Linked DNA regions of Notamacropus eugenii. The protein of the gene in region 4 interacts with the protein of the main gene of each other region in a pairwise test. Links are inferred from orthologs where the notes say so. Each region holds a gene or a part of one and is shown on either strand. Other genes may lie near its edges.

Region 1 (7,230 bases), on a different chromosome or scaffold from region 4:
GTGTGTGTAATCCCACCCACTACCTAGATACTGAAAAGTTTCAAGAGTTACAAATATTTTCTTTCCATGTAGGAATGTAAACAGTTCAACTTTAGTAAGTCCCTTGTGACTTCTCTTTGCTGTTTACCTTTTCATGCTTCTCTTCATTCTCATGTTTGAAAGTCAAATTTTCTTTTCAGCTCTGGTCTTTTCATCAAGAATGCTTGAAAGTCCCCAATTTCGTTGAAAGACCATTTTTTCCCCTGAAGTATTATACTCGGTTTTGCTGGGTAGGTGATTCTTGGTTTTAGTCCTAGTTCCTTTGATTTCTGGAATATCATATTCCATGCCCTTCAATCCCTTAATGTAGAAGCTGCTAGATCTTGTGTTATCCTGATTGTATTTCCACAATACTTGAATTGTTTCTTTCTAGCTGCTTGCAATATTTTCTCCTTGATCAGGGAACTCTGGAATTTGGCCACAATGTTCCTAGGAGTTTCTCTTTTTGTATCTCTTTTAGGCGGTGATCGGTGGATTCCTTGAATACCTATTTTGCCCTCTGGTTCTAGAATCTCAGGGCAGTTTTCCTTGATAATTTCACGAAAGATGATGTCTAGGCTCTTTTTCTGATCATGGCTTTCAGGTAGTCCCATAATTTTTAAATTATCTCTTCTGGATCTATTTTCCAGGTCAGTTGTTTTTCCAATGAGATATTTCACATTATCTTCCATTTTTTCATTCTTTTGGTTTTGCTTTTTGATTTCTTGGTTTCTCACAAAGTCATTAGCCTCCATCTGTTCCATTCTAATTTTGAAAGAACTATTTTCTTCAGTGAGCTTTTGAACCTCCTTTTCCATTTGGCTAATTCTGCTTTTTAAAGCATTCTTCTCCTCATTGGCTTTTTGAACGTCTTTTGCCAATTGCGTTAGCCTATTTTTCAAGGTGTTATTTTCTTCAGCATTTTTTTGGGTCTCCTTTAGCAAGGTGTGGAGCTGCTTTTCATGCTTTTCTTGCATCTCTCTCATTTCTCTTCCCAGTTTTTCCTCCACCTCTCTAACTTGATTTTCAAAATCCTTTTTGAGCTCTTCCATGGCCTGAGCCCATGATATATTTATGCTGGATGTTTGGGATACAGAAGCCTTGACTTCTGTGTCTTTCCCTGATGGTAAGCATTGTTCTTCCTCATCAGAAAGGAAGGGAGGAGATATCTGTTCACCAAGAAAATAACCTTCTATAGTCTTATTTTTTTTCCCTTTTCTGGGCATTTTCCCAGCCAATGACTTGACTTCTGAGTTTTCTTTCCACCCCCACCATGCCTCCAGATCCTCCCAGCCAGCGCTTGGGGTCTGAGATTCAAATGCTGCTTCCCAGCCTCAGGGCTTTGGGTGGGGGCAGGGCTGCTATTCAGTGTGAGATTAAGTTCAGGTGCTCAGGTGGGGGCAGAGCCACCACTTGGGGCTCAGTTCCCTCAGGGGGTTTATGTGGAGACCTTCAACAATGGATCCGGGCTCCTGCCTGCTTAAGGAGCCCTGGTCCGCTGCCACCTCCGCTGCTGCCTCCCGAGGGGGCCTGAGTTATGGAGACACCCTGCTCTCCTCTCGGCAAGCCAAAAAGTCTCACTCACCCCCGGCGTCTGTGGGTGGAGGGACCCACGCGGCCACTGTAGATTCTGTCCCTGAAGCCTGCTGGGATCTGCTCCTCTTGGTGCCACGCAGCCAAGGCAGGGCTGGGCTCTGCTCCTGGTCTGGTGCGTGATGGACCTTTCGAGTCAGGTTTTCAGAGCTCTCTGGAACAGAAATCTCCTCTGCTCCATCATTCTGTGGCTTCTGCTGCTCCAGAATTTGTTGGGAGTTCTTCTTTACAGATATTTTATGGGCTGTGGGTTCAGAGCTAACATATGTGTGTCTTTCTACTCTGCCATCTTGGCTCCTCCCCCTCCACAGAAATTTTTCAAGCAAAGGCTGGTTAATCATTTCTTGGACATATAGAGAAGGAGATTCCTGTCCAGGTTTGAGTTGACCTAGAAGGCTTCTGAGAGCTCTTCCAGCTAGTCTTCTGTAATTTTTCCCTGTGAATCTCGTCAAAGTGATCTTGTAGTGTCTTTGGTCTCCATGTGATGTCATCCATAAACTGAGAATCCAGAGCACCTTACTGTCAATGCAGGGAATCTCTCTTCCATTTGGACTTTGAATAGGATACAGTGACACCCTCCATGATACTAGCAAATGCCTTTGGCAAACATATGTCCTCTTTTTTTTATATGTTGCTTGGTATGACTCCTTGGAGGATTGGTAGATTATCTTTATGGTTGTATCTATTAAGTTATTTTATAACATGGGAGACAATTTGTTAGAAAAAAGTTTTTTAAGGCTTTTGTTTTTCTGAGTCATGCCATTTTGCAGCCAACAAACAGACACAATGGCATCTCCTGTCTTCCTTGTATCTCATTTTATGATTATGAAGATATAGTCTGTTGTAAAGGCTCATTTCTGTCTTTCTTCCCCTGTGCTCCTTACATTTTCACCACAAAAATATGCCCAGACCACTGCCGTTGAGGATTTCAGAGAAATGAGAAAAGAAGGCATAGTAGCTGGTAGTTGAAATGCTCTTGATCATCTTTTTTTTGGGGGGCGGGACAATAGCACCAGCTCTTCCAAGTATTTTGGAATCTATGATGTTTTGAAAATTGATCCTCAAAAGCCCTTAAAGTTGCATCACCTTTTAGAATGAAATTCTCTAATAGTTTTTTGGTCGGGTTCATCTGTGTAGTCCAACTTTCTTATATAGAATGTATGTGTGTGTGTATACACATATACCTGTATATATCTACTTCCCGCACAAAAACTCCACTATGATGTTTCCCTATAGTATGGAGTTGACCTAGGGTTCTCAAAATACATGCCACTATGTACATACTTTGGCATGTTCTATCAAACTGAGAAAGGTTTAAAGTATGGTTCTAATAGTAGATTATAACCTGACTGAGGATGAGATTAAGTATGGCTAGAATGTTATTATTATTGCCAGAAGGTTGGCTCCCAGGTGATATGCTTTTTGGTCATTGTGACCCAGAAAAGATATAAAACACAACAGAGCCTTTAGAGCAGCACAACTCCCTTCTGCTTGGGCAGTGATAGTGGCAGGACAGAAGCAGAAGAGAGAGCAGAGGGTTCTAAGAATCACAGTTTTTAGACCATTTACAAACTTCTTTAGCCAATGGTACAATAAACATGAGATTTTTGTTCAGTAACCAATGAGTTAATACGCTACTGGAGGAACTGATATTTGTACTATAAATGACACCAGAAGATATAAAGTATGGGGATAGCCCCACACGAAAGTTTGCAGTGATAGTCAAACATTGCTGCAGTTCCCTAAAGTGTTCTAAAAAAATACATGTATTTTCTTTGCTGGCTCTTAATCATGGGGTTATAGAATGTTAGAAGTGGAAGGTGACCATTAAGAGAAAATGAGGTCCAGAGAGAGGAAGTGAATTGCCCAAGGTCTTCTTTGATATAGTTTGGTCTTTGATATTTCTGAGCAAAATCTCCCAAGTTAAAAACCTGTATTTCCACTTTATTTCCTACCCAGACCCTGCATGCTGATTTAGGTCATCAAGTCTTCTTGATGCTGTTTGGCATATTGAAGTTTCTCAGGCTCATGTGGCTCATCTTTGCAACAAGAAATAAATGCTTCGGTGAAGAATTACTGACCTACGGACACCTGTATTCCATACACCATTAAGTGAAATGACAATATCTTATTAAAAGGCAAGTCCTTCATTTAAGAGGTTGAGTAAAATATTAAAAATAATCCCAGCTAGTTAAATTTAGGGTGCTAAAAAGGCCAGTCCAAGGATACACCTGGCTTTGAGCCCAGAGTGTTTTTATGTGACAGTGAATTAGACTGATTTTTCATTCATGTTGAGCTTTTTTTCAGTGTTTGATTCTGAAATAGGCAAATATTGATGAACTTAATCATATTGGTTTCCCATCCCAAATACTATCTTTCTGCAGGATTATTGACATTAAAAGATGACCTAATATTGCTGACATATTTTCAGTGTGAAACATCAGATCTTCCATCTTCTTTTCAATGTTTTTATATCTATCTCTTCTTTTCCATTCCCATTGCTTGCATCCTAACCAACATCCTTACCAACTCCTGCATAGATTTTTCAGTTGCCTTCTAATTGTTACCATCGGATACAGTCTTAAATGAGATTCAGATGAATCTTTGCCAGCTTCTCAGGAGCAGGGTAGTACCTCCCTGCTTTCTTTTCCAGAGCTCTGGGTTAACTTGTATGGTCTGGATCTGCTTTCCTGGAGGAAGACAGGAGTGGACTGGAATATGTAAAGGGAGCTACTGTATTACTTTGCGCCCCACAAGATTCAGTGAGAGGTACTGAAACAAGTGGGAGGGGGTCATACTGCTTGGACTACTGGGGGAGGTAGGAGATAAATGGGATAGATTAATCTTAACTTGTAGAGGAATGGGAAACAGAGCCTTGATTGAGTAAGATGAGAAGCATCGGAAGAAGGCCTTTGTTTATAAGCTGGTGGGATCTACTATAAAAGAACAAAATGAGTCAGTTGCTGAAAAATCATTCTGGCCCTAGAGGTATGAAATTGTCAGCTGGGAATTCAGCCAATTCGCTTATTAAGCAGGGCTGAGCCCAGCACCACTGATGAGGACGACTGTAATGCTGGTTGGGTGTAGGGAAGCAATGACAATGCTAAGGTAGAATGCTGGATGCCTGCCAAGAGTGGAGGTATCAGGGTGAGCAGCAGGAGGTACAACCTTAGCTTCTGCTTCAATGAAACTTGATCCAAGGCAGTGCTGTGAGATTATCAACTGTACAGATTTCTGGGATGGGGGAAAGGAATCACTTTGCAGAGGAGGAAAGGGTTCTTTCTTCCTGGACCTGGGTGTGAGTTCTATGTCCTTTCCTGTGTAAGTAAAATTGGTTTTATTTTTGATGCCTTGTGAACTTGAGTGACCACCTTTGTTTTCTACCTTGGTGGGGGCAAAGGAACTAAAGAAATTTAGAGGTCTCAAGTATACCTGGATCCTTATTGTCAATTGTTGTTGAATCATTTTTCAGTTGTATCTCTTTGATCTCGTTTGGGGTGTTCTTGGGAGAGATACTGGAGTGGTTTGCCATTGCCTTCTCCTTCTCATTTTGCAGACGAGGAACTGAGGCAGCAGATTTAAGTGACTTGCCCAGAGCCACACAGCTAGTAAGTGTCTGAGGCCAGATTTAAACTCAGGAAAATGAGTCTTCCTGTCTCCAGGCCCTGGCATTCTATTCACTGTGCCAACTAGTTGCCTTCGACATTAATTATTCAGAAAGATTTTTTTTTTAGTTATTCAGTTCTTTCTGATTCTTCATGACCCCATATACTGGAAAATATGAAAACATACTGGAATGAGTTTCTTCTCTAGTGGATGAAAGTAAACAGAGGTTAATGACTTGCCCAGGGTCACATAGCTACTGAGGTAGGATTGGAATGTAGGTCTTCCTGATTCCAGGCACATCTTCTGCACCCCTTAGCAGCCTTGTGTTTGCAGTGCCTGTGACATAAGGGTTACCTCGTCAGTGATTATTATCCTGGCCTCTCTAAAGTCATTATAGGAGGTAAAGCCTTTGAAAATTCTGTCCCTTCTCTGAGCTTAGTATTTAATGTAGGATTTATTTTTCTTGGTCTCAGGTTTGCTAAGTTCATCTATTGGAAGTGTTCAAATTACAAAACCCAATGGGAGCTATTTCTTTTCCTCCAGATCCACAGTTATATTACAAAAATATTTTTGAATCTTGACTTAAAGTTGGGTGTGGTGATAAGATAAAATATTTTGTAGTAATTCCCATATAATTTAGATACATTTCTATAGAATGGTAACAGTTGTAGGAGTCCTAGACTAGAAATAATAGCTACAGACCAATGGATTAATAATTATATATCTATAAGTACACATATATATATGCACACACACATATATAGATCACACATGTGATATGTATGATATATATTTATAACTATAGAATAATTCCTACAGATGAGGAATTAGGAATCTCAAGTTTTGATTTCTCTTCAGTTACTTACTGTAGATGTGGGAATGTCTCCTACCCCTCTCTGGTCTTCTGTTGCCTCATTTATGAAATACAGAACCATCTGGTACTGGGCCCCTAGATAAAAAGTCCCTCAGAGATCCCTTAATTGCTGCTTCATTGCCCCTCGGGGAAAACTGGCTAGCCATAGTTATTTCTGGGGTCAGACTGGCCTAGGTTGGATGCCTAGTTAGGAGCAGTGGGGTGGGGAGTAGCAGAGGGACTCTGACTGCCCAGGCCCTGGAGCCAGATCTGCTATCCGGCAGCTTTGGGCCTATGCTTCTGTTTTTCCTCTTAATTGCCCATCTTACCTGGGGTCAAAAGGGAGCTTATAAAACCTTTGAGAGCAGGAGCTCTTGCCCTTGTTGTTCAGTCATTTTTCAGTCGTGTCTGACTCTTCATGACCCCATTTGGAGTTTTCTTGGCAAAGATATTGGAGTGGTTTATCATTTCCTTCTCTAGCCCATTTGACAGATGAGAAAACTGAGGCAAACAGAATTGTTACTTGCCTAGGGTCATACACATAGTGAGTATCTGAGGCTGGATTTGAATTTAGGTCTTTCAGACTCCAGGCCTGGCACTCTGTCCACTGTTCCACCTACCTTCAGGAACTTTGTCCATATACAGGTCTCTCCAGGGCTGTGCAGGCTTCTTGCTGCCAGGTGAGCACAAACACCCTTTGGTTTCTTTTAATTGAGTGGTGACAGGATGTTGGTTTGGAATCAGAATGACCTTTAGGGATCCTGAAGAGTCATCTCTTGGTAGTTGCCTGGGGATGGGGTTGCCAAAGGCAATAGGACTGTGAGGTGAAGAGTTGCTCTTCCCAGGGAAATAGAAAGGTTTGTGTTTCTCTTGCACTAGGGATTAAAGACCAGCAAGATAAACAGTGTAACTTCCTTTGGGATTAGGGGAAAGAGCAAATAAACAGACGTGTAGATTTGAGGTTGCTGCTGGTATGAGGTGTGTGTGTGTGTGTGTGTGTGTGTGTGTGTGTGTTGGGGTGGGGTGCAGAGGTGAAATATACTTCCTTCGGTCCAGGCTGTAGATACTGCCTTTTTGTTTCTACCTAGAAGTATAAGCATCAGAAACAAACACCTGAAGATCTTCCTCCTTCCGTTGTTCTCTCAGGGGAGTTAGAGCTC
Region 2 (7,607 bases), on a different chromosome or scaffold from region 4:
GAGACCTTAGGGATTACTCTTGTCCAAGCTGCTCATTTTACAAATGAAAAAACTGCGGCCCCAAAAGGGGGGATGACTTGGGCAGCATCCCAGAGAGGCCAGTTCCCATCTTCTTTTCTTTCCCCAGTATTCTTGGGTACTTTGCTTCATTCCTTCCTTAGGTTCCAAGGGCTGAAAGCAATGATTCCCCCAGGCTGCTTCCCATGCCTCTTCTTTATTCATTTTTTCCTCCTTCCCAAATTACATATCGTTGTTTGTCTTTCATTCTCAAAGATGATCATGACATCAGGGAGGTGATGCCATGACAGGTGAGTGATTTGGATTTCAGTGATTTAAGTGAGGGCTGTACAAAGTCACCAGTCTCACTTTCTCCTCCAGAGCCATCTGGAGCCAGTGACCAGATATACATCAGGACTGGAGATGATCCAGAGTGCAGTGGGGATTTTTCAAGATAAGGTCTATAACAGGTCTATTTGACTGAGGCAACACCCATTCAGTGATTGAGGCTTAAGAAATGAAGCAGAGAATATCTTCTTCATCTAGTTTAAAAAAAAAAATCAGTCTGGGAGGGGAGGATCCTCAGGATTTCTGGCCAAAAGAGAAACAACTGCTATTTACATTCCTTACCCTTACCCTGAATGACTCAGGAAGCAGATTCAGCATAATCCTGTGAATCAGCTCCAGAGACACTGGGTTCGAGAAACAATTTGAAGGTTGTAGGTGGAGCCTCTACACCGGGGGTCAATAGAATTCCAAGGAGTGCATGTACTCTGATGAGGAAAAAATTCTTTGTTTTTTCCAAAATAATTGTTCTTTGTTGCAACCCTATATATTTTATATATTTAAGAATATTGTCCTTTCTGAAAGGGTGTCCCTAAGCTTTATTCAACTACCAAAAGTGTCCATGAGACGAATAAGGTTAAGAACCCCTGCTCCAAACCCATTACAAGTGCTGATATGGGTGGGAAATACATCTCTGGATGTTGAGGGTGAAAGGACATCAGACTATGGAGTTGCCAAGACCCACCCAATACTGGGAATTGAGTCTTATTTGGAAGCTGTCCTTAAAAAACAAATTGTACCTAAGAGAAGTTTGCCATTTCATACGTAAGTCCTTTTCATGTTCTTTTTGTATGTTAGAATGTTTCGGCTTAAAGATGTTTGTCAAGTCATAGTGAAAAAGGAAAAAAAATGTTTTGTGGAAATTCTGTTTCTCATCCTAGCTCTTGTGTGATGTTGGAAGTATGATAAGGTCTCAGAAAAGGGGAAGCAAGCTGACAAAACAGACAGATCCAGGGCCTACTGTCTGAACATCTGGGTTCAATTCTGTCCTCATATGCTTACTAGCTGTGTGACCCTGGGCAAGTCACTTTACCTCTATTTACCTCAGTTTCCTCTTCTATAAAATGAGGATACCATCTACCTCACAAAGTCCTTATGAGGATCAAATGAGATAATCTTCGTAAAAAAGTGCTTAGCATGGTTAGTCCTGCATAAATGTTAGCTACTAGATGGCACAGTGGATTGAAATGCTGGGCCTAACATCAGGAAAACATTTTCCTGAGTTCAGATTCAGCCTCAGATACTTATTAGCTGTGTGACCCCTAAACAAGTCATTTAATTCCGTTAGTTTTGGTTTACTCATGTGCAAAATGAACTGGAGAAGGAAATGGCAAACCACTCCAGTATCTTTACCAAGAAAACTCCAAATGGAGTCACAAAGGGTCGGACAGAACTGAAACAATCTTTCCAAGCCATACTGAAGTTTCTTTCATAGAGTTTGTAATACAGAGTTGGTTGTGGGGAAAAAGACAGATTGGATTCATTTGATGGTGTCTGAGGAGAGATATGGAGATAGATGTCAAAGGATGCTTCAAGGGTCAGACCTACAAAAGAGGATGGAGATCATCACCTGGAAAGCAGAAACCTGGTGACTCAGGAAATAGGAACATTGCCATCTGCTAGGAGCTGAAGGAAACTGCCAGCAGATTGACAATTGAAGAGACTTCCAGAACCATGAAAAGAGACCTCAGTTCAGAAGCATTCTGCAAAGTCCAACTAAATAGAATACCTGAGCATGATTGTAAATGATGGTTGTCTGTAGGTGGGTATTGTAACTGCCACTGAGCTCTGTGTGACCCTTATTTGACATCCTTCAACCTATAAATAATCTAGTTAATTTCTTGAACCTTATAAAGGGAATTGGTGACAAGAGATGGTGGGTGAATATCTCAGACTCTGAAAGCAATAAGGCAGAGAAGTGAGAAGTCCCCTTAAGTGTATCCAGGTCCATAAGGATGTTTAAGAGCCTCTAACCTAAAACTTATCAAAATGATCATGCTTTATTACTTTTTCACTGTTCTCCAATCTGAATTCTTCTCTTCTAGTTCATCTAGTCCAGTGGTATCAAACTCATCTAGAATCAGAGACCACTAAACCATACATAAGGATTCCTGTGGGCTATATATTAACTTAGAAAACCACATATGAACATTATCTATGCTCTATTGTATTTTTATTTATTTTATTAAATATTAGTTACATTTTAATCTGGTTTGGCAACATTCGGTAGCTCCGTGGACCTGACATGTGGACAGAATATTTAAGACTTCTGATCTAGTTTGCAGAGGTATAAGAGATGAAATATTGAGCCCAGTTTGGCTGAAACACAGAATGGGTGAAATAAGACTTGAGGTGATTGGAGGCAGCTGATGAGTCGACAGTCAACCTTTTATTAAGTGCCTACTCTGTGCCTTTTATGAATAACCTTTTAAGTACATACTATATGCCTTTTAACAACCTTTTATTAAGTGCCTACTATGTGCCAAGCATTCTTGGGCAAGATCTTAAATGCCATGCTAAGGAGACTATATCTTATCCTAAAGTTAATAGGAAGCCACAGAAAGGTTTTTTGAGCCAAGGTGTAACTCAATAAAATCTGTCTTTTGCTAACATTATTTTGGCAACTGTGTAGAGAGTTTGGAAAAAGGAGAACTAGAGGTAGGGAGATCAGTTAGGAATCTCTGGCAGTGGTCTGGTTGAGATGTCATGAGGACCTCAGTAAGAATGGTGGTCATATGAATGGAAGGGGAGATGATGGGCAGTGTGGAGATGGAGTGACAAGATTTGAAACTTAGATAATAGGGGAGAGTCAGGTAGAGGGAAGTGTTGAGAATGACTTAAGGGCCCATCTTGTACCTTGTGATGGATTTATAAGTGCCAGGTCAATTGGCCTCTAAGCTTCCTAAAGACCCACACCATTTCATTTCTTTTCTTTCCTTTTGCCTAGCACAGGGTGGGTACCTAGCAGATGCTTGCCATTCTAAGTGAGTTGAAAATCTGTAGAAGACTCAGTTAATATTCTGCCCCCAAAATCTGAGGGCACAGCAATGTAATCTTACATAACCTTCAGCTATGAGTCATATCACATGTTGTTCTAGAAATAAGGTTCACATTTATGTAAGGAATTAGCATCTTTATCACTGACTGCCCCTAGCAAAATATTTTTCTTCTAGTATATCCCTCTGGACCCCAGGCTTACAGACTTTGGGTATGGTTGCTTTGGGATGGTTTCTTGAGAAGGGAGCCTCAGCTATCTGCTTGAGAATTTAAGCCTGGGACCTGCCTCTGGTTCTCCCTGTTTTTTATTCACTCATCTTCCAAAAATGCTGCCCAGCCCAGAAAGATTTGTCTTCAGGCTCTTTCCTCTCTCTGAGACTCTGGGAGTTGGGGGCAGCCAGAACAAGATGTTATTTTAAGGTCCTTCAAGAGCAAGGCTAAGCAGGAGAGATTGTGGAAGAGAAGGGAGCACAGTCTCTCTGCTTTACCAGGCCACCTCCCTGTGGTTTGGACGGTTGGCAGGGGTGGCTCCATTCCAAGAACACTAAGCTGCTTTTAACCCACACAAAGTCCCTACTGGAAGCTGGCTGGTGCCCTGGTTTGGGTACCAGGGCTAGCTTCACTAATAGGAACTAGATGTGATTTGAGTCAAAGACGTCTCCTCCCCTCCCCAACATCTTCTCCTTCCTTGACCTAGTTGTGAAGCATGGAATTCCAGAAACTCAAAACACTTTGGCCTTGAGCAGAGTCTTTAACATACAAATCTCTGTGGAGTAGGGGCACAAAGTAACCAAACACCCTAGGTTACTCTACTATTTGGAGGGGGCTGAGGTCAAAAGGAGCAAATGGAAAAAGCAGGGGGAGGGGTGCACTGAAGATTGGGGGGACAGGGAGACCTAGACCTTGTCCTACACGTTTCCCTAAACCCTACGGAGAGTACAGAGGTGGCGGCGTGGTCAGCGATCTCTAGCCGTAGCCCCGTGGTCCGAGCCCCCTGGCCCGTGCTCTCAGCCCCCTGGCCCGTGCTGTCTTCCTCCCTAAGAGGACTAGGAAGACCTCGCCGAGATGAGGGAGGGGCTTCCTCTTTCTCTCCAGTGTTACTGTTTCCTTTTAGGGACACACTGTAGCCTCCGCCAAGTGTAACCCGTGGGACTGGAGGAAAGTCATTTCCCCACGTTGGGCCTCGATTTCCTCATCTGTAAAACCCAGGGGGGTGCCTTTGGGGGTCACGTCCACTCCGGATCCGGGCACCTTCTTTTTCTTTTCCGCCGCCGGACCTCTGGCCCACGCTGGGCTCGGGGACCTTGACGGCCACCTCCCTGCGGGTCTGGGGACCCCCGGCTAGGTTGGACTCTGGGCTAGGATGCGGGGCCGCCTGTTCCGCACTCCCCCCGGCCCCTCCCCGCTGTGTTTTCCGCCCTGTAGGGGCGGGGCGGGCTCCCGGTCCGGGCTCCTCCCTCCTCGGCCCCGCCCGGACCGGAGGACGGCCCGGGGGAGGGAGCCGAGGTTCGGGAGGAAGCCGGACGATCAGACCCAGACATCGGCTCCGGAGACGGCGGGGCTGAGAGGTGAGTGCGCGGGGCTGGGCAGGTGAGGGGCCCCGGCCCTCCTCTGCCCTTCCTCCTCCTCTTCCTCCCCCCCCCCCCCCCAGCCCCGGGAGACAGCTTGTGTGTGCGTTGGGGGAGTCTCTGCGCTCCCGTCAGCGGAGGTAGGCTGCCGCTGGGGTGGGGAGGCGGTAGCTCTCTGCCCCCAGCCCTTGCCGCTTCTGCCACCCCTGCCCAGGTACAGCCGTGCCCTGTGTCCACCGAGGCCAGGGCACGGTGGGGAGCAGGGTTCCCTATCCCCCTCCCCCAGGCCTCCTTCCCTCCCAGGTCCCTGGCCCTAAGCCGGAACTTCCTTCTTTCAAAAGGGCCGAGGGGCCCGGGGGCTCGATTTGCTCGGGCCGGGAGGAGAATCGCCGCCTCCGTGCCCGGTCTGCCGTGGCCCTTTCCCCGCCCGTGCCGGACGGACGCGCTCCTGCGCACCAGCCTGGGCACGGACTGCCCGCTCCCGGGACCCCCCGGCGGCCGGCCCTCGGGGTCCCCAGGCTGCCCGAGCGAGGTGCGCCCGGCCGGGTCTTACCACGGGCATCCTGGGCTGGCTCTCCGCTGGGGTGTTCAAGGTTAGACTCTTAAAGGCCAGCTCGTTACGAAAGCTTATTGGGCTTTGGTGATCGTGGCCACGGGCGGAAGGAATGGAAGGCACCCAGACTGGCTTTTGAGCCGTTTCCGCGGTGGTTTGGATGGAGAGTCTACACCTGCACCTACACTGTAGAGGAGGTAGTGGGACCGTCTTCCGCCTTTCCCACTCCCCCAGGCATTGGAGAGATGAATGATTGGGGCTGGGAGTTACGATTAGGGCCGGGGAGCAAAGTGAAAGCTCACCGAGACTAGAACTCGCGACCGTTGGCCAACCCCCTGGTGTGTTTCACCATCAAGTGAGCGGGAAAAGGCCATCCAGGAGAGATGGAGAGGCTTGCGTGGCCTTAGAGGTCAGGCGTGCTGGATTCAGTTGTCTTTGCCTTCCACCACAGTAAGGAGACAAGGTCCTGCTAAGTTTTGTGAGCTGGTAACGTTCGAGGCTTTACTTGCTGTGGACGTTTTAGGTTTGGGAAACATTTGAGGTACCATACTTTCTTTGTCTTAGCCCACCGTTAAATTGCCCCCTGTTTTCCCACCGGACCTTCCAATTTGAAGGAAAAAATAATTAAGATTATTCCTTGGGAGGGGGAGGGGGAGGGGAAGGGATTGTTGGTAGTGTGGTTGTCTATATGTCAGGGAGCCCCCCTGGAGAGTTAGTTATTCCAAGCAATTGGGAACAGCTCGGTTTGCTGAAAAAAAGAATTACTTAACACCTGTTAATAGGCTGCCAGCTGCTCAGTCCTAGCTGTAAGAAGGGGAAGAACCCGCGGTTCAAGATTTCTGGGAGCTCTGGTTTCTGTTGTTTACCCCTGGCCTCTTAACATTTATCTGTAAAATATCTTATAAAAAGAGAGAGCTTGAATTCTCTGGGCAAATATCAATAGCTAGAGGGGAGAAGGTAGGTCTCTACAAAGTTCCTTCTTGGCCATGTGGATAGAGGAGAAAGAATTTAGCTGTTCGCCTTCCACCAAGGTAGGTGGTGACTAGCACTGGATGGGGAGAGGGAGGGCTAGAGTTTGGGAGACCAGAATTCAAATCCAGACTCAGACACTTAGTTGTGGGATCCTAGGCGAGTTACTTACCTTCTCTTTGCCTCAGTTTCCTCATCTGTAAAACGGGGATAATAAAAGCACCTACCCTATAGGCTTTTAGTGAGGATCAAGAGATCCTCATTTCAAAGCACTTAGCACAGGACTTGACGCAAGGTAAGCCATATGTAAGTGTTAGCTACTGTTATCATTATTCTCAAAGTCAAGGACTAAGGTAGATAATTACTGTTTATTGAACCAGATTACCCAGAGTTGAGTGCAAAGATGCTCAAAGGGCACCAGGAGCTTTGGTACTATTTTCAAAATGGCAGGGCAAGGGAGAAAGAGCTCCAGAGGTGCCCACTGTTGGGCAGGTTAAGTCACCAAGTATTTATTGGGCACTTACTCTCTGCTGGAAGGAAATAAAAAGAAAAGCAAAAATAAAGAATTGCCCGCCCTTGAAGAGCTTACATTATTTTTTTAAAATTTTAATTAATGTATTTTTAGTTTAGAACATTCAGTTCCACAAAAGCCTTTGAATTTTAAATTTTCTCCTCTTCCTTCTTTTACCCCCCTCCCCATGACCACATGCAATCTGATAGAAGAAAAGCTTACATTCTAATGGAAGAAAACATATGAAAAAGGAAGCTGAAAGGGAGGGCAAGAAGGAGAAGGCAAGAACTACCCATAGTGGGAGGATGGTGGAGAAAAGAAATCTAGAAAGTCTGGAGCTCATAATGGGACCCCGGACAGAAATCTTTGTGGGTCCTCTTCTGGTTTTGACCTTTGTGGTTTGGACTTACTTTGTATGCTTGAGTCCAGTGACACATTTTACCATCTACCATTTAACAGGCATTAACTACCTGACCAAATACATCAGCAGAAAGTCACTAGCCGGGCCCTGGTCTCAAGGCTTTTTAGAAGATCCCAAGGAGAATAAGATTTTTGCTTCAAGGTGCTTTCTATCTGGTGGGGTAGGAAAAACAGTCTGACATGGCAACTTTTGGGAGTGTATAAAATGAAGGGGTGACATTAGATCCCTCTCAGCTCCAAATTCGGT
Region 3 (7,536 bases), on a different chromosome or scaffold from region 4:
CACAATGACACTGATATGATTCTTCTGAGGATTCTCTAGTTGACGGTCTGGCCATTTTTAAGGGGTTTTCTTTTCCCTGGAGGAATAAATGCCTGTGCTATACTGGTCTGATGCCATTAGCACTGACTCAGTGCCAGGTGTGAGGCGAGCATTTGCTCTGAATCTCCTCTGCCATTTATCATCACCTGTCTGGGAATCCAGGGAAAAGGGCTGTTAAGGAAAGTTTCCCCATGAAGGGAGGGTAGGGCTAGAAGCTGATATTTCAGGGGGATGATGGGAAGGAAGGGAGAGCATCATTTCCTAGGTTTCTCCCATGTGATGGGCTGGGAGGATCTCTTTCTGAGGTGCCTATAAAGTCCAAGTGTGCTGGATCTTCTCAGCCACAAGGCGGAGTAAGGAAAAGCTGAGCCACAAGCCGGGCCCTGCTGCTGCTCCAACATCAGCCTCAAGGTGGAGAAGCCCCCAAATGCCCGTAGTCTTGGCTCTGGCACCAAAACAAAGAGTACACACAGAGACGCGCTGGCGGCCAGGGCTGTACTCAGGGAGAGCAGGAAGCCACAAGCTTGGGGTGGACTGGATTTGGGGAATACACAGAATGGAGCAGAGAGGCCAGGAGAACTCTGGTCGTTTTGGTTTAATTCTTAAGTAATAGCACTCCTTCCTTCCTGCTCTCAAACGCAGACTTGATTAGAAAGCCCAGGGCTGTGGCGTGTGCCTGGGAGATGGCAGGCATCAGGGCATTCAGGCTGAGGTCCCAGCTCTGGCCCCTCCTAGCCCCCTGACTCCATGCAACTTATCTGACACCTCTTTGCTTCAAGTCTCTCAGCTATAAAACGGGGCTAAAGAGGGCTGCAACAGGGGCCACTCAGCAAACTTCAGAGCTACCATTTTCTGATCCTGTAGAGAGAGGAGGGGATGTCTCATCCTGGTTCTGCTACTTTGGGGGGCTTCAGTGTCCTCTTCTATGAAATGAGAAGGGAGGTGGTTTCCAGGATCCTTGATAATAAGCACAGAGGAGGTCCCCATCTGCCCAGCAGCCCTCTGCTGCTCTATACTTAGAGTTTCAACACCACACAAGGATCAGACATACAGTTAGAAGGGCCAAGGGGGTCCAACACCTTCATTTTTATATTAGAGAAAAGGGAGGCCCATGGAGGTGAATCAGTGTCACAAGTGGGATCTGAAGTCCCAAGCCTGGCCTGTGCCTATACCAGAAATCACAGATCTCCCCCATCCCACCACAAATGCACTGACTTATGCATGGGGCACATTACCTACCCCCAACTCCAGCAGGGAAGTGAGCTCCTTGATGGCAGGGACTTGCTTTGGAGCCAGAAGAGGTCTGGCTCTCGCTACCAGTGTGCCCTTGGCCAAGTCACTGAATGAGAAGGGGGCTCACTTTGCTCTCTGTAGGTAGGGACCTCTAACCCTTCCAAACTGTCCCTCCCCCCCAAACCCACAGACCAGCTCTTTCAGTGCTTAGTCCTCCCCCACTGCAGGCACCTAAGAAGAGCTGGGATCATTTATACAGGGCTCTCAAGTTTGCAAAAGGCTGTACATACATCATAGTCACCTCTCCAGACCCCTCATAAAATGTTTGGTCCCTGAGGGATCACAGAGTCACATATCCAGAGATCAGAGGCTCCTCCAAGCCCATGTAACCCAAATTGCTCATTTGACAGGCAGAGAAACTGAGGCTCGGAGGATGAGTTCTAGGGACAATAGGGTTCTTACAGCCCACCCAGTGCAACCCCCCCTTACAGGTACAGAGAAAGAAAACCGAGGCTCAGGTACAAGGACTTCAGGAGCCAATTTAGGCCAACGTCCTCCTTTTACAAATAAAGAAACTGAGGCTCAGAGATTCACATAAGGATGAAGAGGTGGCTGGCATCTCCAAACTTTACACAGAAAGAAACTGAGGCTCACAGAAAATTACAACATCCCATGCTGACTGACTGACCTGTGGCTCTAGAGCCCACCCCCTCCATTTCACGGAGGAAGAAATTGAGGCTCCGAGAAAATTACAGTATCCCACACTGATTGCCAATCAACATGATTGACGGGTGGCTCTGGGGTAAGGGCCTCGGAGTCCATCCTTCCCCCTTACAGAGGGGGAAACTGAGGCTCCGAGAAAATTACAGTATCCCATATAGATCATCGATCAATACGACCGACTCGTGGCTCTCACGGAGAGGGAAGCAGACGGTGACATCACACGTTGATCGACACGTGGCTCTGGGAGCCGGGCCCCCTCCCCACCCTCCTTCCCTCCCAGTCATTGTCCGAGCCCGGACTCACCTCCACCTGTTGATGCCCACGTTGGAGGAGCCCGCGAACCAGGGGTCCAGGATGTAGACGCAGCGCACGGTGTCGGCGCCCTCGATGCACTCCTTGAGCGCGGGGTTGTCGTGGAGCCGAAGCCCCTTCCGGAACCAGTGCACGGCGTTCACTCCCATCTCGCAGCCTGCCCGTCTCCCGGAGGGGCCTTAGAGAGCGGCGGGCGCTAGGACCCAGCGAAGCCCGCGGCCGCCCGGCCACATCGCGTCCCGGCGGACCGGTGGGGGGGAGCCTCGCGCCGACGCCCCGGGGGTCACGTGGCCGCGCCGGCCCGAGCCGGGGCCGACAGAGAAGGAGAAGAAGGGGAAGCTCAGGTTCTGGCGCCGGCCTTGGTCCGAGGCCGGATCCCGCTCCGGCCCGCCTGCTCTTGGGTTCCCGGAGTCAGTGCCAGCTCCGGCTCGGACTCTGGCTCCTCGCGCTGGGGCGGACGCGTCAGCAGCCCAGGCCCCGCCCCCGGACGCCCATTGGCTGAAGCCCCTGCCACGTGACCGCCAGCTCGTCACGTTTCTGAAGTGTGTTTACTACACCCGGCAACCGGCGGCAGGGAGGAGCCGGGGACCCATGGCGGCGCCTCGCGCTCCCGAAGCAGCCGCTCGGCCCCTGGCCGCCGCCGCAGGCTTTGCAGACGTGAGTCGTAGCTGACGGCGCTCCCCGTCCTTCGCTCTCACGGGTATCGATGGCGTCCCAGCCTCCCCCTTCCCCCCCACGGAGCCGGTGGCGACCTCTCCCCGTACCGCGTGAGCCAACACCCAAGCCCCGCCCCCGAGGGCCGCGATTGGCTGCTGACAGTCCGGGAGCCGGTGGAGTCCCGGATGAGCACGGGGCTGCGAGGAGCTCGGCGGCAGCCGCGCGCGCGCGCTCCCGGGGCGGCCCTGCACGCGCCCGGCGCGTGGTCCCGTGCTGAGCAGTGAGCCTGCGCAGCCGCTCCCGCCCTGCCCTTGCCCCTGCCCCAGCAGAGCGCTGGGCTAGGGGCTTACTGAAGTCTGGGCCTGACCCACCCTCTTCGTGCCCCGCCCCCTTCAAGGCGCCCTCAAGGGTCTTCAGGGGGCCCCAGAAGTTATCCCCAAGGTGACCAGAAAGTCCGGAGCGCAGGACACCGACTAGCCACGTGATCTGGGTCATCCTCTGCCTCAGTTTCCTCACCTGTAAAATGGGGCTAGTCAGCACCTATCTCCAAGCATTGTTATGGAGAGTCCAAGGAGATAGTGTTTGTAAAAAGCACTTACTCAGCCCAGTGCCCGGCACGTGGGAGGCTCTATCTAAATGCTAGGGGCCTCAGGGAGCCCCACTTCTCCAGAGGCACCCCCGGGTGACCCTCTCTTCCCAGACACTCCCGGGGGTCACTTTCATCAACGGCTGCGTGACTCCCCTTCTCCTACACCCCATCTCCAGGATCGGGGATACCCCTTCCCCACCCGCATCCATTTGTGACACCCCCGGGGGCTTCGCCCAGCTCGGCCCGCTTCCACTTGGGGTGCCAGACCTCTTTCTGACGGCCTCTCACGGTAGCCCCGAGTCGGACTCTGGGGGATGAACGTTCTCTGGAAACGAACCTGAGAAGCCTTACTTCCCCACCTCTCCCGCGACGGGGAGCCTGGCCACTTTTTCTTCTAACCCCTAGAAGCCCCCAGGCTGCCCTCGGTGGCTGCGAGCTCTTGTCAAACTCCCCAGCCGAAGGGCAAGCAGACCCTCCCCCTTGGCTGATGCCCTTCGGGGCCCTCCAACGCTTCTGCAGCCTCCCCTGGAGGCTCACATCTCCGGTCTGACTCATCAGGTCTGGAACCTCGTGGCCCTGAGATCTGCAGCCTTCCTGGTCCTCTCGCGTCTTTCGTAGGAATCTCTGAGTCTTTGATTCCACCCTCTGCCCTCATGGTTGAGGAATTAAGCATAAACGTTCCCCTCTGTCCCCTCCCATCAATACTCTCCTCTAGATTCCCATGATCAATATCTCCCCTCCATCCAAGGGATAGACCCACCCCCCCTTCACACCAAACTGTGCTCCCTCGATATCCGATCTTGGGATCTGAAATCCCAATCTCCCATCCTCCAGCATTGTCCACGTCTCACTCCTAAACCTGATTTTGGTCCTCACCAGCATCCTCTGATTTTCTGAGTCCTGACTCCCTTCCCCCAGTACATTATGCCTGCTCTTTGCTTGCCTTCATTGTCTCATCCCTATAGTTAACCAGTTCAACAAGGCTCCGTCATGTACCTTGAATCCCTGGTTCTTTTGTTTCGCTTACACTACGAAGACTCTCAATCCTGAGTCACTCCCATTGTCCTCTGCCATCCTTCAGAATGCCTCGAAGAGGAAGCCGTGTAATCATGCCGTCTGGGTCTGCTACAAAGTCATGTTCTCTACCCTCAAATAGATCCTCAAATAGTTCCAGAGCATAAACTCTGATACTCATGTCTCCATACCCTCAGATCATCCTAACTTCCTAAATCTCCCCCGTCTTCAGTTCTCATTTCTCCTCAAATCTGTACCTAAACACCTGTTTATATTTATACCTGTCTCCCTCCTTTACTCCTAGCTTGAAGGAAGTCCAACTTGTCCAAGTAAATGCCTTTTCTTATACTCTTGATTTTATACCTTATCATATCTTCCAGGAATTTGTCCCGCCCACCATTTTCATTCATTAATCTTCAAGCCTTCTTTCTATGGCCTTCCTTCATTTTCTCTTCTAACTCCCTCTGCCAAGAGATTGGCACACCCAGACACCACCAGGTAACCTTCCTATGAATCCCATCTGCATTTTCAGTATCACTTTTCCCATCTTATTTGGTTCTTGGATCCTGGGAATCCAGAGATCTGGAGTGGCTGGGAGACATTACAAATTTTTCTCTCCTTCCCCTTCCAGGCACCCACTCCCACCCTTCTACTCCTTGTATGATGTGGGCGCTGGCTCCATTGACATCAGTGGGGCAGCCATGTGCTACCTGTTCCCACTTCTCATTATTTCCCATAAAACTGTTATGAGGAGAGTATGACCACACAGAGAAGTGCTCCTACCCTTTACTTGCTTGAAATTTCCATTCATTCCCTTGAAGAACATTTAAGGTTTCTACCTTAAATGGGGCATGAAAGTCATGGAGTACTTCCTGGTTTGCCCAACCCACAGGGTGCCCAGAATTGGGAATCCAGGGGCAGCTTTTCCAGTCATGGTTGCTCTGATTGATCACTTGTAGACTATCCATGCACCTATAAAGAGGTGGACCTGGGGTTATTATTAGTGATCACTTCTAGACCCGCCATGCACCTGTAAAGAGGTAGACAGCCCCAACACTCTAACCTGGGGCTGTTATCTTCCCTGGCAGGTTCCATGATGACCTCTATGCAGGGGTCAGAATCCCTTGTTTTTCTCCTAAATTCCAGCCCTGTGACTCCAACCCATTACTGGATGCCTCCATCTGGACGGGCTGGAACCCAAAGCTGAAGACATCCAGTAGTTTTCACCACCTTTTCCCCAACTCACTTCCATATTTTCCCAGGATAGCATCCTCCTCCTCTTATTCCCTCGGTTCAAAACTTCAGTCATTCTAGACTCTTCCCCCTCCCCATCCGATAGAAAGGAAGCTCCTTGAGAACAGGGATCATTATTTTTATCTTTTCTTTGTTGTTTGTTTTTATTTAGTATCTTATTTTCTCCCAGTTACATGCAAAAACAAATTTTAACATTCATTTTTAAAACTTTGAGTTCCAGCTTCTCTCCCTTCCTCCCTTCCCACCCATCCCCACTGAGAAGGCAAGCAATTCCATATAGGTTCTACATGTGTAGTCATGCAAAACATTTCCATATTAGTCATGTTGTGAAAGAAAACTGATAAAAAAATTAAAAAAAAAAAAAGAAAGTAAAAAACCGTATGCTTCTGTCTGTATTCAGACTCTGTCAGTTCTTTCCCTGGGGATGAATAGCATTTTTTATCTTAAGTCCTTCAGAGTTGTCTCGGATCATTGTATCTCTGAGAATAGCTAAGTCATTCACAGCTGATTCATCTTACAATATTGCTGTTACTTTGTACACAGTACAAAGCACATGTCACTTTGAATCAGCTCATAAAAGTCTTTCCAGGTTTTTCTGAGAGCATCCTGCTCATCATTTCTTAAAGCCCAATAGTATTCCATCATAATCACATACCACAACTTGTTCAGTCATTCCCCAATTGATGAGCATCCCCTCCATTTCCAGTTCTTTGCCCCAACAAAGAACTGCTACAAATATTTTTGTACATATAGGTCCTTTTCCTTTTTTAAATCTCTTTGGGATACAGATTCAGTAGTGATATTGCTAGGTCAAAGGGTATTTATATCTCCCTGTACCTATTGCCAGATGTTACAGGTTAAACCCCTGATCCCTCACTGATCCAGTTTAGATGTCCGGATAGAACAACTATAATACAAATAGCATTTATAGAGTACTTGGAGGTTTGTTAAGCACTTTACAAAAACAATCTTACTTTAGCTTCGCAACAACCCAGGAGTTAGGAGCTACTATCACCCCCATGTTGTAGATGACATTTTGCAGGCAGACATAGGCTAAGTGACTTGCCCAGGGTCATACCGCTAGTATGAGCCTGAAAATTCAATTCATGGAGTATTTATTCAGCACCTATTATATACAAGGTACTCTGCTAGTTATTGGGGATATAGAGAATATGGGGTGCAGGGACAGAATACACATACAGCCTTGATACAGATCAGAAAATCTGAGATGGGGAGGAAACATGAACAGCTTGTAGGGGCTCTTATTCTGGGGTCCAAGAACTTGTTTTTCAATGTAATATGTCTTTTGTAGTTTTTGCATTCAAAATCATTATTCTGAGAAGGCACCTATAGTCTTAACTGGAGTGCCTATGAAAAACCCCTAAAAAGTAGAGGAAAAGGGAGGCCCTGGGTGGAGGCTTGAAGGAAGCTGGGGAGGAGTGGCCACCACCTGTGACACTGGAAGGAGCTCCACATTCAAGTCACCTTGGATCACTGGGAGAAGGAACATAGTTGGAGGATGTGCCGTTCATGATGGGTAGGAAGCCAGAAGGATTTTCCTGGGCTTCTCCATTCATTTCCCTAGCCAGGAATTTCCAGGGAAGCTGGGCCTAGGATTTGAGACAGGGAACTCTGCAGGGGGTAGGGATATGGGTCCCTAGGGCAGTTACAGGAAGGGAGAAGTGGGAGGGGTTCCTAGGAGGTGGGGGGGGGGG
Region 4 (7,314 bases):
TTACAGACCTCAAGGCCAGAGCTCTTTACAGCATACCAGGCTACCTCTCTGATAATAGGGTAACACGATAAGAGTGTGATCCAAAGAAAAGAGCAATGTCTCTACAGTCAGAGGACATGAGTTCAAATCCAACATTTGACATTTAAGACCTGTGTTAGCTTGGGCTAGTTACTTAGTTTCCCTTGTCCTCAGTCCCTTCATTTGTAAAATAAGGTGGTTGGATAAGACACTGACCTCTTCCAGAGCTGAAATGATGATTTTATAATCCTGAAATAAATTGTTGATGGAAAGAGACATGATCTGGGCTCTGTGAGTTCATTTTGGTTTCCAATGTGTCCTGAAATATTTTTATTTTGGTTTTGGTTGGTGCTTTATGCAAAGCAATTCTCTTCCACATCTGGAAACTGATTAAATATGGAAGTTCAGTGTATTAACCAATTTAAGTTTATTTTTATAAATGTATTAACCAATGAAGTATATTAACCAGTTATGTAAACTTATTAGCCAATGAAGAGAATAAATAATTTTCCTTTTTTCCTCTCTTCTAATCCTTAGTGGATATTTACTTTTTTTCCTTCTCAATAATCCTGAGAAAACCTAAATACTATTAGAGGGAACTTCTGCTATTAAGAAAACAAATTACCTGTGGATGCTTTTACTGACTGCTTCTGTCTGAGCAAGGCTCATTGAATGAATCATTGTTCTCTAAACAGCCCTGACAGAAACAAAACAAAATTCCCAAGACTACAGGAAAGGCTGTTCTTGGAAAAGGAGGATGAGTATACCAAGATTTCCAGGAATCATTAAAAAATAAATGAAAACATACGGACAATTGGACTATATTAACTCTGTACCAGCAGGGATTGTATACTATGCCATTTGAGAGAGTATTCCATACCATTCCACATTTCCCTAATAGCACATAAGAAGTTTTCAGTAAATAATTTTAGTTTTCCTTCCTTCTTTCTTTCCTTTTTTCCTCTTTCTTTCTTTCTTACTCTTTTTCTTTCCTTCCTTTTTGCCCCTTTCTTCTTAGTTCCTTCCTGACTTCCTTGGATGAGAAAATGGAATTGTTTGTTGTACGTCCAGATGACTTTTCCTTGGTCCTTATTCCAGGACTCTTAACTGGACAAAGTAGCACAAATTCAAGGGGAAGAGGCATCACACTTCTTCCATTCAGAATTAGTAGAGCAGTAAAGCCAATCCTTGTTCAGTCTCCTGGGTGAACTCCAGTTCTGAAATTCTCTACCTCTTTACCTCCATCTCCTAGTTTTCCACTAACTTCACTCAGCTAAAATCCCCCATTCTGAAGGAGTCCTTCCTGGTTCCTCCCCAGAGTTCTAGTGCCTTCCTCTCTAAGTTCCCCTTTGGCCTTTATTATATCTTCTGTATCTATTTGCATGGTGTTCTCTCTAGTACTTTATGAGATCCTTAGGACAGAAACTGTTTTTGTCTTTCTTTGCTTTGCTGTTAGCATAGAACCTTGATATAGTGACTGTTTTAATAAACTGTTGACTGACTGGAAGTTGGAGTGGCAGATTTTAGCTGTAGGTTAAGGAGAAAAAAGGTGGTATAGTGAAAGGAGTTTAGGGCCTGGAGTCAGGAAGACTCATCTTCCTGAGCTCAGATGGCCCTCAGACACTTACAAGCTGAGTGACCTTGGGCAAGTCACTAAACTCTGTATGCCTCCCTTTCCTCATCTGTAAAATGAGCTGGAGAAAGAAATGGCAGGCCACCCTAGTATCTTTGACAAGAAAAGTCTAAATGGGGTCATGAAGAGCTGGACATCGCTGCATAAGGACCAAGCTACAGCGACAAAAGAAAATACTGCACAACTTTCTCAGATGAGAGCTTGCAGTTGGCTGTCTCTGGGGGTTGGGAGGCCGTAAGCCCTCTGTCCTCTTTTTAATTAACCTCTGCATGCTCCAGGCTTCGGGAAGCATTTGTTAGGTATGCATGGAGGAGTTTATTTTTCCTGTGCGAGTTGGTTTACATATACTATGCTTTTCTTTCCTGCTCAGATATTTGATTAGGGATTGCACAATTTTGGAAAGACCAGCTCAGCTACTCCAGTAAGCAGCCAGCCAGCCAGCCGTTCATCCAGGCTTTTTGCTACAGGAGACTCACTATTTCTTTTTAACTTTCGGTCTCTTTTTTCTTGTTTCTGTTCCTTATTTTTCCAAGCACAATCGTTCTCATACTACTCTGGCATTCTTGCCTCCAAAGATAACCAGAACTCAAGACCGGCAACCTTCAGGTCACGTCCCACACCTACCACTTCCTACCCTCCTCTTGTCCCGCACTCCCTAAATCCATCCCCTCCCCCTGCACTCCAGACGTCCAGAGGGACAACTTCCCCTTCCCACCCTCAACCGAGCCCAGGAATCCCACAAGGATCTCTAATAAAGCCGAGCAGCAGACACACTCCACCCCCTCCCCTTGCTTCCCCTCTCCCTGAATTGAGGGGCTTCCGGCTCACTCCACTTCGAATCCGACCTGTAGACTCTCTCTCCCCCAACTGTCTCCCCTCTCTGTCTCCCCTCTCTGTCTCCCGTCTCTTTCTCTCTCTGTCTCTCTCTGTCTCTGTCTCTCTGTCTCTGTCTGTCTCTCTGTCTCTCTCTGTCTCTGTCTCTGTCTCTCTGTCTGTCTCTGTCTCTGTCTCTGTCTCTGTCTCTCTCTCTCTCTCTGTCTCTGTCTCTCTCTCTCTCTCATTCTCTCTCTCTCTCTCTCTCTCTCTCTCTCTCTCTCTCTCTCTCTCTCTCTCTCTCTCTCTCTCTCTCTCTCCTCCCTCCCTCCCTCCCTCCCTTCCTCCCTCTCTCCCTCTCTTTCTCTCTAAAACACTAACAGAAAACGAATGACAGCTAAAGACGTATTTCCCACTGAGTTCTCTTGTGTGGACCCAGATGCGGTGTTTCCACCCTCATACACTTACCTACCTGAATCTAATCTTCTGGCTTCACTCTTGAACTGTGATTAAATGTCCTCCACCGGCGGAAACAGAAAAAAAGAAAAGAAAAACGAACCAGGGAACTAGAAGCTGCTAACCAGCAGTCTCCGCCCTTGCAATACAATTGAACCACTAGGGAGACGTCCTTTTGAAAACATACTTTCATAAACCGTATCCCTTCCCTTTTGAGTGAGGCTGGTGACTGCACAGCCTTGCCTTACTCACCTTCCTGACGTCATTGGTCCTCTTCAAGAACGAGAGATGAACGACAGTTCCCTCTACTTTTCATTTCTTCCTTCTGTTTTTATGTTACATAAAATAATGTAGTTACCTCTATTCCTTTCCAAAGTCTAAGATAAAATTCAATGTTGAGACATCAATTGATGGTCATCGTGAAAAGAGGCACTCATGTATACGCTGCTTTCCTAACGGTACTGGAAACACCTTCTAATGGAGAGAAGAGGGAAGCTTGAATTTTTGCCTGTGAATTGGAGCGATTCATATCAATAGGAGGGAATGACACACGTGGGCAGGTTTTCTATAGACCTGGAATACTATTGAAGGAAACTGAGTTGGAGCTCTGATTCAAAGGAAGATAAACCATCATAGGAGGAAGGAGATGGAAAGGACCTAAAAGGGTCCACTCCTTCATTTTACAGATGAAGGAATTGAGCCTGAGAAGATGACTGCCTTGTCCAGATGCAGCTAGGTGCCTGAGGCTGGATTTCCTGACTCCAAGTCAGGAAGCATGGTGCTTCTTACATTTTGGCCAGGAGTTCATTCCCAGTACTCAAGCCTGCTTGGGCAAAGGCTTGAAGATAAGAAATAAAGGGACATTTGAAATGGATGTGTGATGGGATTAGTGAGAAGAGTGAAATCAGGATTAGTTAGAAAACCTTGAAGCTTTCCACTATCGTTTGTTGGTCACCTGCTATGTACCAAGGGCTGAACTTAGTACTCAAGATATAAAAGTCCTGAATTCATGGAGTTTACATACTTACTAGATCCTTTGATTGGATTGAATGACTTAGGGGATAGATAAGATATGATTAAAGTATTTTAGTGTTTTACTGTCCCTGTTGACATAAGTGGCAGTTCCAGTCAGTATTTTGTAATGAAAAAACTTCCATTGGAGAAACATTAAATTCTAGAGATTTTCAAATTTACTTTCTCTGCAACCCTTAAAACTCTTCACAACCTGGCTCCTTCCAACCTGTCCATTCTTCTCACATTTCACTTCCCTCCACAAACTCAGCAATTACTTCTCTGGGCTTCGTGCTGTTCTTGCCATCTGATTTCCCCTCTCTTGTCTCCATCTTGGTACTGGCTGTCTTCCAGACTTGGAATATACTCCCTCTTCACCTCCTCCACTTGGCCTCTGGCTTCCTTGAGAATTCAACTAAAATCCCACCTTCATCAGAAGACACTTTGCCCTTGCTCCCAGTTGCTAGGGCCTTCCCACTGAGATTATCTTCCATGTACTTAGTATATAATTTGCGTGGGCATAGCTATTTACACAGAGCTTCCCCTGTTAGGATGAGAGCTCCTTCAAGGCAGGAATCATTTTGTTTGTTTCATTCCCATTACCTGATACACGATTACCTGATTCATACATAAGCTTTTAATAAATGTTTGTTGCTATTATAATGGCTGACATGATATTTTGACATAATATTTTAAATTTATATATATATATATATATATATATATACACATATATGTGTGTGTATGTATGTGTGTGTATGAGTGATCTTCCTAGAGTTTCACAATCTTTATACTACATACAAGGGCCTTTTAATAAATGTGCAGATGACAGCTCAGAAAAGTAATGTGACTTGTTTGTGATCACGCAGCTAGTAAACCTCAAGGTTACAATATCAAATCAGGTCTTTCTCTTCCATACTCCAAGCTGAACCCTGCCATTTATTTTTGTCATGCCACCAAAGCCAGGAATTGCAAAGTGCTTTATGGACAAGGAATTTTTTGTTATGGAAATGCTTGTTTTATTCAATAAATTAAAATAAAATAAAAAGCATAAGACCTTAAAAAATAGAAGCAGTCGGACCTCTGATTTCATTCAAACTCCCCATGAGAGACCTCCTACCAATGCAGACTAGAGTTGCTTGAAACTGTCTTAGAAATTGCCTATGGTGACTAAACTATAAATAATGAAAGTCACTACATAATCCTACAACAATGTGCAGAAGATGAGAGCTCAGAAAGGGACAGGAAGCTGAGTTGAAAATTTTGGAAAAGTTAATATTTGCACCTAACAGTGCTTTCATTTTTCACCACCCAGTCCCTCCCCATGGATGTAAGCTTCCTTAGCAAAAAAGAAAAGCTGATAAGCAAAGTCTCCACTTTCCTTGACTGAGTGTGACAATTTTTACAACATTCTTACAGCACAGTGTCTTGACTTTGTAGACAGGAGGAAGCTCTGGGTTTATTTACTTAACCGAACCATTGTGGGGTATTCAAGTTACCCAGTGTTTGTTTCCTTTGGTGATCTTTTCATTTAAATAGTCAGTCTTTTTTACATCTCATTCTTCCATTTCTTCTTCTTTAACTCTAATTAAAGTTCATATTTATCATTTTGTTGTGTTTTCATGATGTATTGTAGCAAAAAGGTCTCAAAGAATTCAGTGTCAGATCACTTGTAAGCCAAGCATGGATTTTTATTGAGACTGATGATTCTTATGAAATGGGCTAAGTTCCAAGAGGACTCAGCAATTTTGGAGAAAGGAAAATGGATTTTTATAGGGTAAAGATGCAAATACGTAAACAGAAATTATGAATATTAAAAAGGTAGGAGGGGGTTTGTTAAGGTATTAGGTAATACCATAGGGGTTCCAACCACAGTGGAACTGGAAATGCAATTACCCACAATGCATATAGAAAAAACTCATTGAGGGGGCATATATCTTTGATCATGATATTATAATAAGACTCTCTACGACACAAGTACACCTGAAGGACAGCTTTTGTTATTACTGAGTAGGTGTCTACTTTAGGGGAAGTTCCTTCTATTGTTCTGTGGTCCACATCCTGCTTGGGCATTCTGGTGGTGCTGCTTTTTGATTGCCTGAATATTGGGACCGTGTCTGAGACCAGACAGGTGTGATTGTGGTTGAGTGCATGAACACACCTGCTGTTTCTCTGCGAAATATGAAGAATTGTTCTAAGGGCAGTGACTAGCTGGAAGCAGTGTCTCAGATCCCATCAAATGGACACACCTTCTGTTTCTGTGAGAAATATGAGTTCATGGATACACCTGTTGTACTAGTCAGCAGTGAGGCATATATAGGATATTGAAGTGGGGGTGGGGGAGGTTTGAGTGGCTAGGCAGGGTCAGTGGGCCTGCTGTTCAGTGAAGCTTATAAGAAAGTTAGAATATTGGGGCCAGGGGCAGTTTTATTAGGATTCTATCAACTTTTGCTACATAATAGTTTATTCATATGCGGCCATTCTCTGTCTCTCTCTCTCTCTTTTTCTCTCTGTCTCTCTCTGTCTTCCACATACACACACAGAATTTCTGATTTCATGTGCAACTTTTTAAACCTTATTCAATACCTTCTTTTATATAACATTTTTATACAACATTAGTTTCCCAATATTTACCTCCTTACAACCTAGTGTTTCATTTCTTAAAAAAAGATTTAGAAATATAATGAAGAAAAAAACAAAGGGAAAGTAATCATACTCATTAACTATGACTGATGGTATATGCAATATGCCAGACCTACATCCCTTTCTTTCTCTACACTGATAGAAGAAAGTACATTTTCTCAACTTTTCTTTTGTGGTCAAGTCCATACATTATAATTCCATGGCATTTGGTTTGGTTTTGTTATAATTTCCATCTATATAGTTATGGTCATGTTGTTTATTGAATCCCTGATTCTATATTAGTTTGTAAATGTTCTCATGCTTCTCTGACTTCTTCACTGTCCTTACTTCTCATGTGAGAATAATACTTCATTATATTCATACATTTAAATTTATTTAGCCACTCCCCAAACAATAAGAATATAAGCAAGTGTTGATCCTGTGTATTTTGAAGCTACTCTTTCAAAAAACACCAGTGACATTGTAATAATCAAGTCCAGCACTTTTTATTTTTATAATTTGCAGCCCCTTTACTGTCTTTGCAACTTTTGATGCACTTGACTTTTCCTTCCTATTGGGAACTTATCTCTTCAGAGACATCACACTTTATTGGTTCTCATCCTTTGTACCCCTTTAAACACCAATTCTCTGGCTAGTTTATTTGTTTTTCATCCTCTTTCCAGCCATTTAATCTAGGTGTTCCTCAAGAGTATATGGTAGGATTTTTTCTACTCTCCCTTTACATTCTTTCCTGATTAATC

Evidence for each region.
Region 1: the proteins of phospholipid scramblase 2-like (region 4) and RGS3 interact in binary tests that used the Homo sapiens proteins (3 or more experiments, as listed by UniProt). The two-hybrid records come from large-scale screens. The link is inferred for Notamacropus eugenii from reciprocal best matches to the Homo sapiens genes PLSCR1 and RGS3.
Region 2: the proteins of phospholipid scramblase 2-like (region 4) and ANXA11 interact in a two-hybrid assay, tested with the Homo sapiens proteins (2 studies listed by BioGRID and IntAct). The two-hybrid records come from large-scale screens. The link is inferred for Notamacropus eugenii from reciprocal best matches to the Homo sapiens genes PLSCR1 and ANXA11.
Region 3: the proteins of phospholipid scramblase 2-like (region 4) and CRY1 interact in a two-hybrid assay, tested with the Homo sapiens proteins (2 studies listed by BioGRID and IntAct). The link is inferred for Notamacropus eugenii from reciprocal best matches to the Homo sapiens genes PLSCR1 and CRY1.

The regions. Positions count from the first base shown.
Region 1 is NC_092872.1:478,293,569-478,300,798, reverse strand, and holds the start of RGS3 (regulator of G-protein signaling 3), read left to right. Parts: upstream 1-4,207; coding exon 4,208-4,380; intron 4,381-5,167; coding exon 5,168-5,219; intron 5,220-7,230. UniProt on the Homo sapiens protein: Down-regulates signaling from heterotrimeric G-proteins by increasing the GTPase activity of the alpha subunits, thereby driving them into their inactive GDP-bound form.
Region 2 is NC_092872.1:229,641,779-229,649,385, reverse strand, and holds the start of ANXA11 (annexin A11), read left to right. Parts: upstream 1-4,594; 5' UTR 4,595-4,907; intron 4,908-4,964; exon of another isoform or gene 4,965-5,047; intron 5,048-5,245; exon of another isoform or gene 5,246-6,001; intron 6,002-7,607. UniProt on the Homo sapiens protein: Binds specifically to calcyclin in a calcium-dependent manner. Required for midbody formation and completion of the terminal phase of cytokinesis.
Region 3 is NC_092874.1:289,311,787-289,319,322, forward strand, and holds the start of CRY1 (cryptochrome-1), read right to left. Parts: upstream 3,014-7,536; 5' UTR 2,457-3,013; coding exon 2,299-2,456; intron 1-2,298.
Region 4 is NC_092877.1:335,160,424-335,167,737, forward strand, and holds the start of phospholipid scramblase 2-like, read right to left. Parts: upstream 3,019-7,314; 5' UTR 2,937-3,018; exon of another isoform or gene 2,933-2,936; intron 405-2,932; 5' UTR 298-404; coding exon 235-297; intron 1-234. UniProt on the Homo sapiens protein: Catalyzes calcium-induced ATP-independent rapid bidirectional and non-specific movement of phospholipids (lipid scrambling or lipid flip-flop) between the inner and outer leaflet of the plasma membrane resulting in collapse of the phospholipid asymmetry which leads to phosphatidylserine externalization on the cell surface.